Linked DNA regions of Macaca mulatta. Each later gene encodes a partner of the first gene's protein in a complex. Links are inferred from orthologs where the notes say so. Each region holds a gene or a part of one and is shown on either strand. Other genes may lie near its edges.

Region 1 (4,449 bases):
CATTACCTGCTCATCGCCTGGCGGCGGAGGGAGCTACCTCTTCAGCCTCCTTCTTGGAGGGGACGTCACCCTGGCCATCTCCATGACTTTCATCTCTACGGTGGCTGCCACTGGTTTCTTGCCTCTGTCTTCAGCCATCTACAGCCACCTGCTCAGCATCCATGAAACACTCCACGTGCCCATCTCCAAAATCCTGGGCACCCTGCTGTTCATCGCCATCCCCATAGCAGTGGGCGTGCTGATCAAGTCCAAGCTCCCCAAGTTCTCCCAGCTGCTGCTGCAGGTCATCAAGCCCTTCAGCTTTGTGCTCCTCCTGGGCGGCCTTTTCCTGGCCTATCGCATGGGGGTCTTCATCCTGGCAGGCGTCCGGCTACCTATCGTACTGGTGGGTATCACAGTGCCCCTGGTTGGCCTGTTGGTGGGCTACTGCCTGGCCACATGTCTGAAGCTGCCTGTGGCCCAGCGGCGGACGGTCAGCATTGAGGTAGGGGTGCAGAACAGCCTGCTGGCCTTGGCCATGCTGCAGCTATCCCTCCGCCGCCTTCAAGCTGACTATGCCTCCCAGGCCCCCTTCATTGTGGCGCTGAGCGGCACCTCCGAGATGCTGGCCTTGGTCATTGGCCACTGCATCTACAGTAGCCTGTTCCCAGTTTCCTGAGGCCTCTGGGTCAAGCTTTCATCAGCCCCAGCCCCCACACTCCACCAAAGTTCTCATGCACTATGCACTCAGAAAAATCCAGGCTTATTTTTTTTACTGATTTTTTATTCTCCAGCTTTCAGTGCCACAGAGGCCATGCTGAGTTAGGTAGGTGGGCGCTGCCCAGAAAATATATTTCAATAAAACAGAGAAGCAAGCTTGGGTCCCTTCTAATCTTTGCCCTTTGGGGCCTGGGCGTGGGGGTAGAAAGAGTGTGCTGGGTAGGTGTGGACCAGGGTGGAGGGCCAGCTTGGGTGACACGGTGACCCCTGCATAGGCTTTCTCTATCAGCCCTCCCGGGGCGTGTCCCCACTGTAGGAGAGGTGGGAGGATGAGGGCAGAGGCTGGCCCCCCTACCCCCTCTCAAGCTCAGTGGGGTGTTTCGCAGCCAGACCAGAAAGGAGGAGCCAGAAAGCCACCAGGCAGGGAGCCGGCGGGGGGGGCGCCGTCTGTGGGTATGCAGGGCCAGGTTCCGCCAGCAGTAACGGCGCGTGGGGTGGTCCAGGCAGTCTGCGGGGGCGAGCGTACCTTCTGGTCCTTCCTTCTCCATTCCCTAGCTCCCAGATGACGCCAACCTGGCCCGACTAGTTCCTGCTCCCAACTCCCCGGCGCTGTTGCTTTGGGAGGGGTCCGCCGGCCAGGGCGGTCGCTGCGCGTGTGCTAGGCGGGACCCCAGGGGCACTCCTCCCGGGGTGCAACTGGGCCGGGGGGCGGGGCCGGGGCGTGGACGAGGCAGGAGGGCGGGGCCGGGAAGCGCGGGCGGCGGGCGCGCCCCTCTCGCTGCTTCCGGCGGCGGCGGGCGGTTCCAGCGCGCGCCCGGGGCGGCGGCGCGCGGCGGGGGGTGGTTGGGGTGCGCGCCGGCCCGAGTGGACGCCGTCGCGACCGCCATGCAGCTGACGGTGAAGGCGCTGCAGGGCCGGGAGTGCAGCCTGCAGGTAGGGTCCCCGGGCCGGGCGGCCGGGTCCGGCGCGCTCTCTCGCCGGCTCCTGGCAGGGTGACCAGCAGGGCCAAGGGCGGGCACGGGGCGGCCGGGCCGGGGACTGGGAGCCGGGAGAGCTGCCCTCGGGAGCGGACGCGTGGGCTTCGCCGCCTGGGGACCGCGGCCTCAACCCTTGCCTCCCACCCTCCGCGCGGCCAGGTGCCGGAGGACGAGCTGGTGTCCACGCTGAAGCAGCTGGTCTCCGAGAAGCTGAACGTCCCCGTGCGCCAGCAACGGCTGCTTTTCAAGGGCAAGGCCCTGGCAGGTACCCAGGGAGAGGAGACGCCCAGGGAGCCCCGCAGGAAGCGGGACTGGGGTGCGCGGGCCGAGGCCGGCAGCCGTGTAACGGGTTGGGGTGCCGGCGCCAAGCGCCACATGACCCCAAGGGAGGCGGCCGCATGCCTCACTGCCGGATGCCGCAGCGCTCCGCTCCCGCCGCCCGAGGCGGTCTCGCGTCCCGGGCCACCCCCACGGCGGCGGAGGAGGAGGAACCCATCGATCTGTCTTTGGCAGATGGGAAACGACTCTCGGATTATAGCATCGGGCCCAACTCCAAGCTCAACCTAGTGGTCAAACCCCTGCAGAAGGTGCTACTAGAAGAAGGCGAGGCCCAGAGGCTGGCCGACTCCCCACCCCCGCATGTCTGGCAGCTAATCTCCAAAGTCTTGGCCCGCCACTTCAGTGCGGCAGATGCCAGCAGGGTCCTGGAACAGCTACAGAGGGTGAGAAGGGTAACCCTGGGTATCCTCTCCAGGCCCAGTTCCTCCCAGCCCCTACCTCTGTTGCAGTGTATGGCTCCCCACTGGCAGCCCCTGAATCTTCCTGCCCTTCTCTCCCCAGGATTACGAGAGGTCCCTGAGCCGCCTGACGCTGGACGACATCGAACGGTTGGCCAGCCGCTTCCTGCACCCTGAAGTGACTGAGACGATGGAGAAAGGCTTCTCCAAATAGCATTCTCGGAGCATGGGGAGGTGCCCAGTGCCAGGCCACAGCAGCATGTCACACTAAGTGTGTTCACCTGTTGCAGTTGGGCTCATAATAATAGCTGGCATGTACCTGGCTCTGGCCACGTGCTAGGCACTCCTCACAGCTTGACCTGGGTTTGCTTCCACACCCTCAGAAGAGGTGAGCCAGCACAGCAGAGGCACTGGCGGTGAAGTGGCGGAGCCCCAGTCGGAATCCAGCGGCTTCTGAAAGTGCCTTGGTGTGAGAAGGAGGAAGGGGCTGCTTGGAGAGCTGGGCTCTGGCATGTCATGTTTAGCCCACTGAGAATATACCCTCAGGTGACTCCTTCCCAATCCTGAAAGGGAAAGCAGCTGTCACCTGACCTCTGGCGGGTCCAACATAGCCTTCAGCTTACCTCTGCAGGAGGCCAAGTGACAGCCAGCCCTGGAACCACCACACCCCCAGCAGCTGCTGCAGCCAGTGTGCTTTCGACAAATGAAAAAGCAGGTTGGGGCCAGGGAGTCAGCAAGTCACCCCAGCTCTGTGATGTGACTTCGGGGGAGTCTCAGTGCCACTTTGGTCCCCAGCCACGGACTTTATACAGTGAGGGCCACTCCCCGACCTGAGTCAGTGTCCTTCGTCTCACAGTGCCCCCCTCCCTTCTGTTCAGTAAACAAACTGAAGCCAAAAGCGAAGCAGTGGCCAAGTGTGACCCAGAGATGGGGTGTCCTGGCCCTTAGTGACACAGCTCCTCTCTGGGCACCCTGTCTGCTTGTCTCCTCCAGGAAGCGTTAGGGCTGATGGGTGACTCAGCAAGGCAATGTCAGAACTGGGGCTGGGCATAGGCCTTTGTCCTCGTCCCCAGCACTCGCCTCCCTGTGGAAGATGAACACATCAGCCACCTGTGTACAGCCGCTCACTTCGTGTGCTCCTTGTTGCCTGAGAGGAAACCTTGGGGTGCCAGGGTGGGGACAGAAACATGGGCTGGGTTCCGGTTCCTTCTCCACTGTGCCCTGTGCATGGGCACAAGAGGACATCTAGCCACCTGCTCCTTGGAGGCCCCCAGGGGTGGTAGAGGCTAGAAGGAAGCCACAGCAGGAGGACGCCACTCTGGGCCCTCCACCCTTGCCAAGTGAGCCGCTCACAGTGTGGTCGGGGCTGCACGTGCTGGAGGCCCTCCTGCCTGGGCCTGATGGGGCAAATATTGGGTCCCCGGGCTGGAAAGATGGACAGAGGCCCAATGGGTGAAGGCTTTGAAGAGCACACAGAAGCCCCTGGCCCCCCACGAGAGCTGGAGAGCCATGTATATGGCTTCAAAGCCACCTATGGCAGGGACACACTTGTGAGCATGGGTGGCCTGCAGCTCAGGTGATACATTTACCAGTGCTCTTGTTTGCGTGGTGCCAGGAAATTGATTTTGGAAAATGAAATAACATTAAAGGTGAATGTGAGACTTCCACTTTTATCCAAAAGGAGCTATATTAGCTAGGCTGTTTCTGATATCCAATCATTGGTTTAACAATAAAGGCAATTTGTTTAATCAGTAACGGAAATTTCTTGGCTTATGAAAGTGAAAAGCCCAGTGGTATCGGCATTGGCAGCAGGGGAGCAATTCTTCCAGTGTCTTCCTGCCTCCCTCTGCGTTTGTGTCTGCCACATCCCAGGCCACCACCTCCAAGGATGAAAAGGTGGCTGCCTGCAGCTTCCACAGAATCCCTCCCTCACTGCCTCACTGCCAGAGCAGCACCTTCTCTGTAGCACCTCTGCTGTCTCAGATGCCTCCAGCAAATAAACACCCTTGTTGGTCGGAACTGGATTGTGCGTCCAA
Region 2 (2,602 bases), on another chromosome or scaffold:
GGCCCTGGGAATTCATTGACTCTGAACCCTTCATTTTAAAGATGAAGAAAATGAGGTTTAGAAAAAGAAAGTGTAGTAATTAGTGTCACTGCTTTCTGACAACCTGTTCAGAGGAAGAGGTAGGTAGTTGTGCTGCCTGACTCTGTTAAATACCTACCATATTTCTGCTCTAAGCAGTGAAGATCAGAATGTAACTCTCCATCTTCCCAGACCCATATGTTTGTGCCCTCTTGATGCCGTATTATTTCCCTATCTGCATTCTCACCTCAACCTTCTGTTCTTTGTTCCTTTTCTATTTGCCAGGCAACACAGACAGCCCCTCCACCACCCCCACCTCCTCCACCCCCACAACCTGCCCCAGAGCAGCAGACCATGCCCCCACCAAGCTCCCCTTCTGGTGGGGCAGGGAGTCCTGGAGGCCTGGGCCTTGAGAGCCTATCACCGGAGTTTTTTACCTCAGTGGTGCAGGGTGTGCTGAGCTCCCTGCTGGGCTCCTTGGGGGCTCGGGCTGGCAGCAGTGAAAGTATTGCTGCCTTCATACAACGCCTCAGTGGATCCAGCAACATCTTTGAGCCTGGAGCTGATGGGGCCCTTGGTGAGCAAAAGGGGGTGCTTTGGCTTGCTCCAGGAAGGGGCAGCCAGAGGAAGGTAGATGGCCTTGGTTTAGGGGTGTTGCCAAGGTGGGATGAGGTTGACACCTGGTTGTGGGTGGGCAAGCCAGGTGGTAAAGGCGATTGCTAACATCTGCCCCTGTCCTCCAGGATTCTTTGGGGCCCTGCTCTCTCTTCTGTGCCAGAACTTCTCTATGGTGGACGTAGTGATGCTTCTCCATGGGCATTTTCAGCCACTACAACGGCTGCAACCCCAGCTGCGATCCTTCTTCCACCAACACTACCTGGGTGGTCAGGAGCCCACCCCCAGTAACATCCGGGTAAATGAAGGCCAGGGGCCCCAGAGCTCTCCTCCTTTGCACATTTTATTCCTTGTTTCTGACTGCTTCTCTGCCAGGTAAAGCTCCAATTGCCCCCACACAAGCCCTGGACTTGTTGGGGTCAAGGTGGAAGTCTTGGGAGGACCGAGGCTTTGAACTAAACCTGTTCTGTTTCCTCCGCAGATGGCAACCCACACATTGATCACGGGTCTAGAAGAGTATGTGCGGGAGAGTTTTGTGAGTAACCCTTCTCTATTCCCCTCCTCTCCTGGGTCTGGTCAAGGCAGCTGCCTCCTCCGTTCCCAGTCTTACGATTCCTGTTTTTGTGTATCTTGTCTCTCAGTCCTTGGTGCAGGTTCAGCCAGGTGTGGACATCATCCGGACAAACCTGGAATTTCTCCAAGAGCAGTTTAATAGCATTGCTGCTCATGTGCTGCATTGCACAGGTCAGTGGCTGGCCAGGCTGGGGCAAGTGGGGCCTGTTGGATGTGCAGGGCTGCCATGTGCCAGCATTCCCTCATTGTGTTTTGCCCACAGATAGTGGATTTGGGGCCCGGTTGCTGGAGTTGTGTAACCAAGGCCTGTTTGAATGCCTGGCCCTGAACCTGCATTGCTTGGGGGGACAGCAGATGGAGCTTGCTGCTGTTATCAATGGCCGAATTGTAAGCACCACCTAGCCCCAGGTCCTTAGCCTTTTGTTTCCTGAGGTTTCCATTCGCTGCAGTTTTCATTTTTGTTTTCTAAACTGATGTTCTATACCCCAGATCTAATATATTAGGAAAGGTGGTTGAGGGTTTTATGTTCTAAATCTGCTTTCTGCCCCTCAGCGTCGTATGTCTCGCGGGGTGAATCCCTCCTTGGTGAGCTGGCTGACCACTATGATGGGACTGAGGCTTCAGGTGGTACTGGAGCACATGCCCGTAGGTCCTGATGCCATTCTCAGATACGTTCGCAGGGTTGGTGATCCCCCCCAGGTAAGGGACCTGTTGGGCAGTGGGGTCAGGGTACTTGAGAGAACTGGAGAGATCTGAGAGGAAATATGTTGTTGTTTTTTTTTATTGAGACAGAGTCTAGCTCTGTTGCCCAGGCTGGAGTGCAGTGGCACGATCTCGGCTCACTGCAAGCTCCACCTCCCGGGTTCACGCCATTCTCCTGCCTCAGCCTCCCGAGTAGCTGGGACTACAGGCGTCCACCACCTCGTCCGGTTAATTTTTTTTTTTTTTATTTTTAGTAGAGATGGGGTTTCATCGTGTTAGCCAGGATGGTCTCGATCTCCTGACCTCGTGATCCGCCCGCCTCGGCCTCCCAAAGTGCTGGGATTACAGGCGTGAGCCACCGTGCCCAGCCAAAATATGTTGTTCTTTAATTTCACAGCCTCTTCCTGAGGAGCCAATGGAAGTTCAGGGAGCAGAAAGAGCTTCCCCTGAGCCTCAGGTACTCGGGAGAGGGGGAGGTTGAGGGGCCAGATAATGTGGAGTGGAGGGCTGGGGGAGAAAGGTTTGGAGGTGGCCGGCGCGGTGGCTCAAGCCTGTAATCCCAGCACTTTGGGAGGCCGAGACGGGCAGATCACGAGGTCAGGAGATCAAGACCATCCTGGCGAACACAGTGAAACCCCGTCTCTACTAAAAAAAAGACAAAAAAACTAGCCGGGCGAGGTGGTGGGCACCTGTA

What was found.
Region 2: the proteins of UBL4A (region 1) and BAG6 are in contact, whole or in part, in a crystal structure (PDB 4X86), measured with the Homo sapiens proteins. The link is inferred for Macaca mulatta from reciprocal best matches to the Homo sapiens genes UBL4A and BAG6. Residues at the interface, in NP_055050.1 of Homo sapiens: Val95, Leu98, Ile99, Val102, Leu103, Arg105, His106, Phe107, Ser108, Asp111, Arg114, Val115, Gln118, Leu119, Asp122, Tyr123, Glu124, Ser126, Leu127, Ser128, Leu130, Ile135, Leu138, Arg141, Phe142; in NP_001092004.1 of Homo sapiens: Gly1052, Pro1053, Leu1055, Leu1057, Ala1060, Val1061, Ala1064, Ala1065, Ala1067, Ala1068, Ala1070, Arg1071, Pro1072, Leu1073, Thr1074, Ser1078, Leu1079, Asp1082, Leu1083, Glu1087, Val1088, Ser1091, Tyr1092, Gln1095, Leu1096, Asp1099, Ile1100, Arg1103, Leu1104.

The regions. Positions count from the first base shown.
Region 1 is NC_133426.1:160,668,874-160,673,322, reverse strand, and holds UBL4A (ubiquitin-like protein 4A), read left to right. Parts: upstream 1-1,576; 5' UTR 1,577-1,584; coding exon 1,585-1,632; intron 1,633-1,835; coding exon 1,836-1,941; intron 1,942-2,189; coding exon 2,190-2,398; intron 2,399-2,516; coding exon 2,517-2,627; 3' UTR 2,628-4,429; downstream 4,430-4,449. Other genes in the region: SLC10A3 (P3 protein), read left to right, coding at 1-658. UniProt on the Homo sapiens protein: As part of a cytosolic protein quality control complex, the BAG6/BAT3 complex, maintains misfolded and hydrophobic patches-containing proteins in a soluble state and participates in their proper delivery to the endoplasmic reticulum or alternatively can promote their sorting to the proteasome where they undergo degradation.
Region 2 is NC_133409.1:150,681,038-150,683,639, forward strand, and holds part of BAG6 (large proline-rich protein BAG6), read left to right. Parts: intron 1-303; coding exon 304-595; intron 596-761; coding exon 762-931; intron 932-1,114; coding exon 1,115-1,168; intron 1,169-1,274; coding exon 1,275-1,377; intron 1,378-1,468; coding exon 1,469-1,593; intron 1,594-1,758; coding exon 1,759-1,905; intron 1,906-2,305; coding exon 2,306-2,365; intron 2,366-2,602. UniProt on the Homo sapiens protein: ATP-independent molecular chaperone preventing the aggregation of misfolded and hydrophobic patches-containing proteins.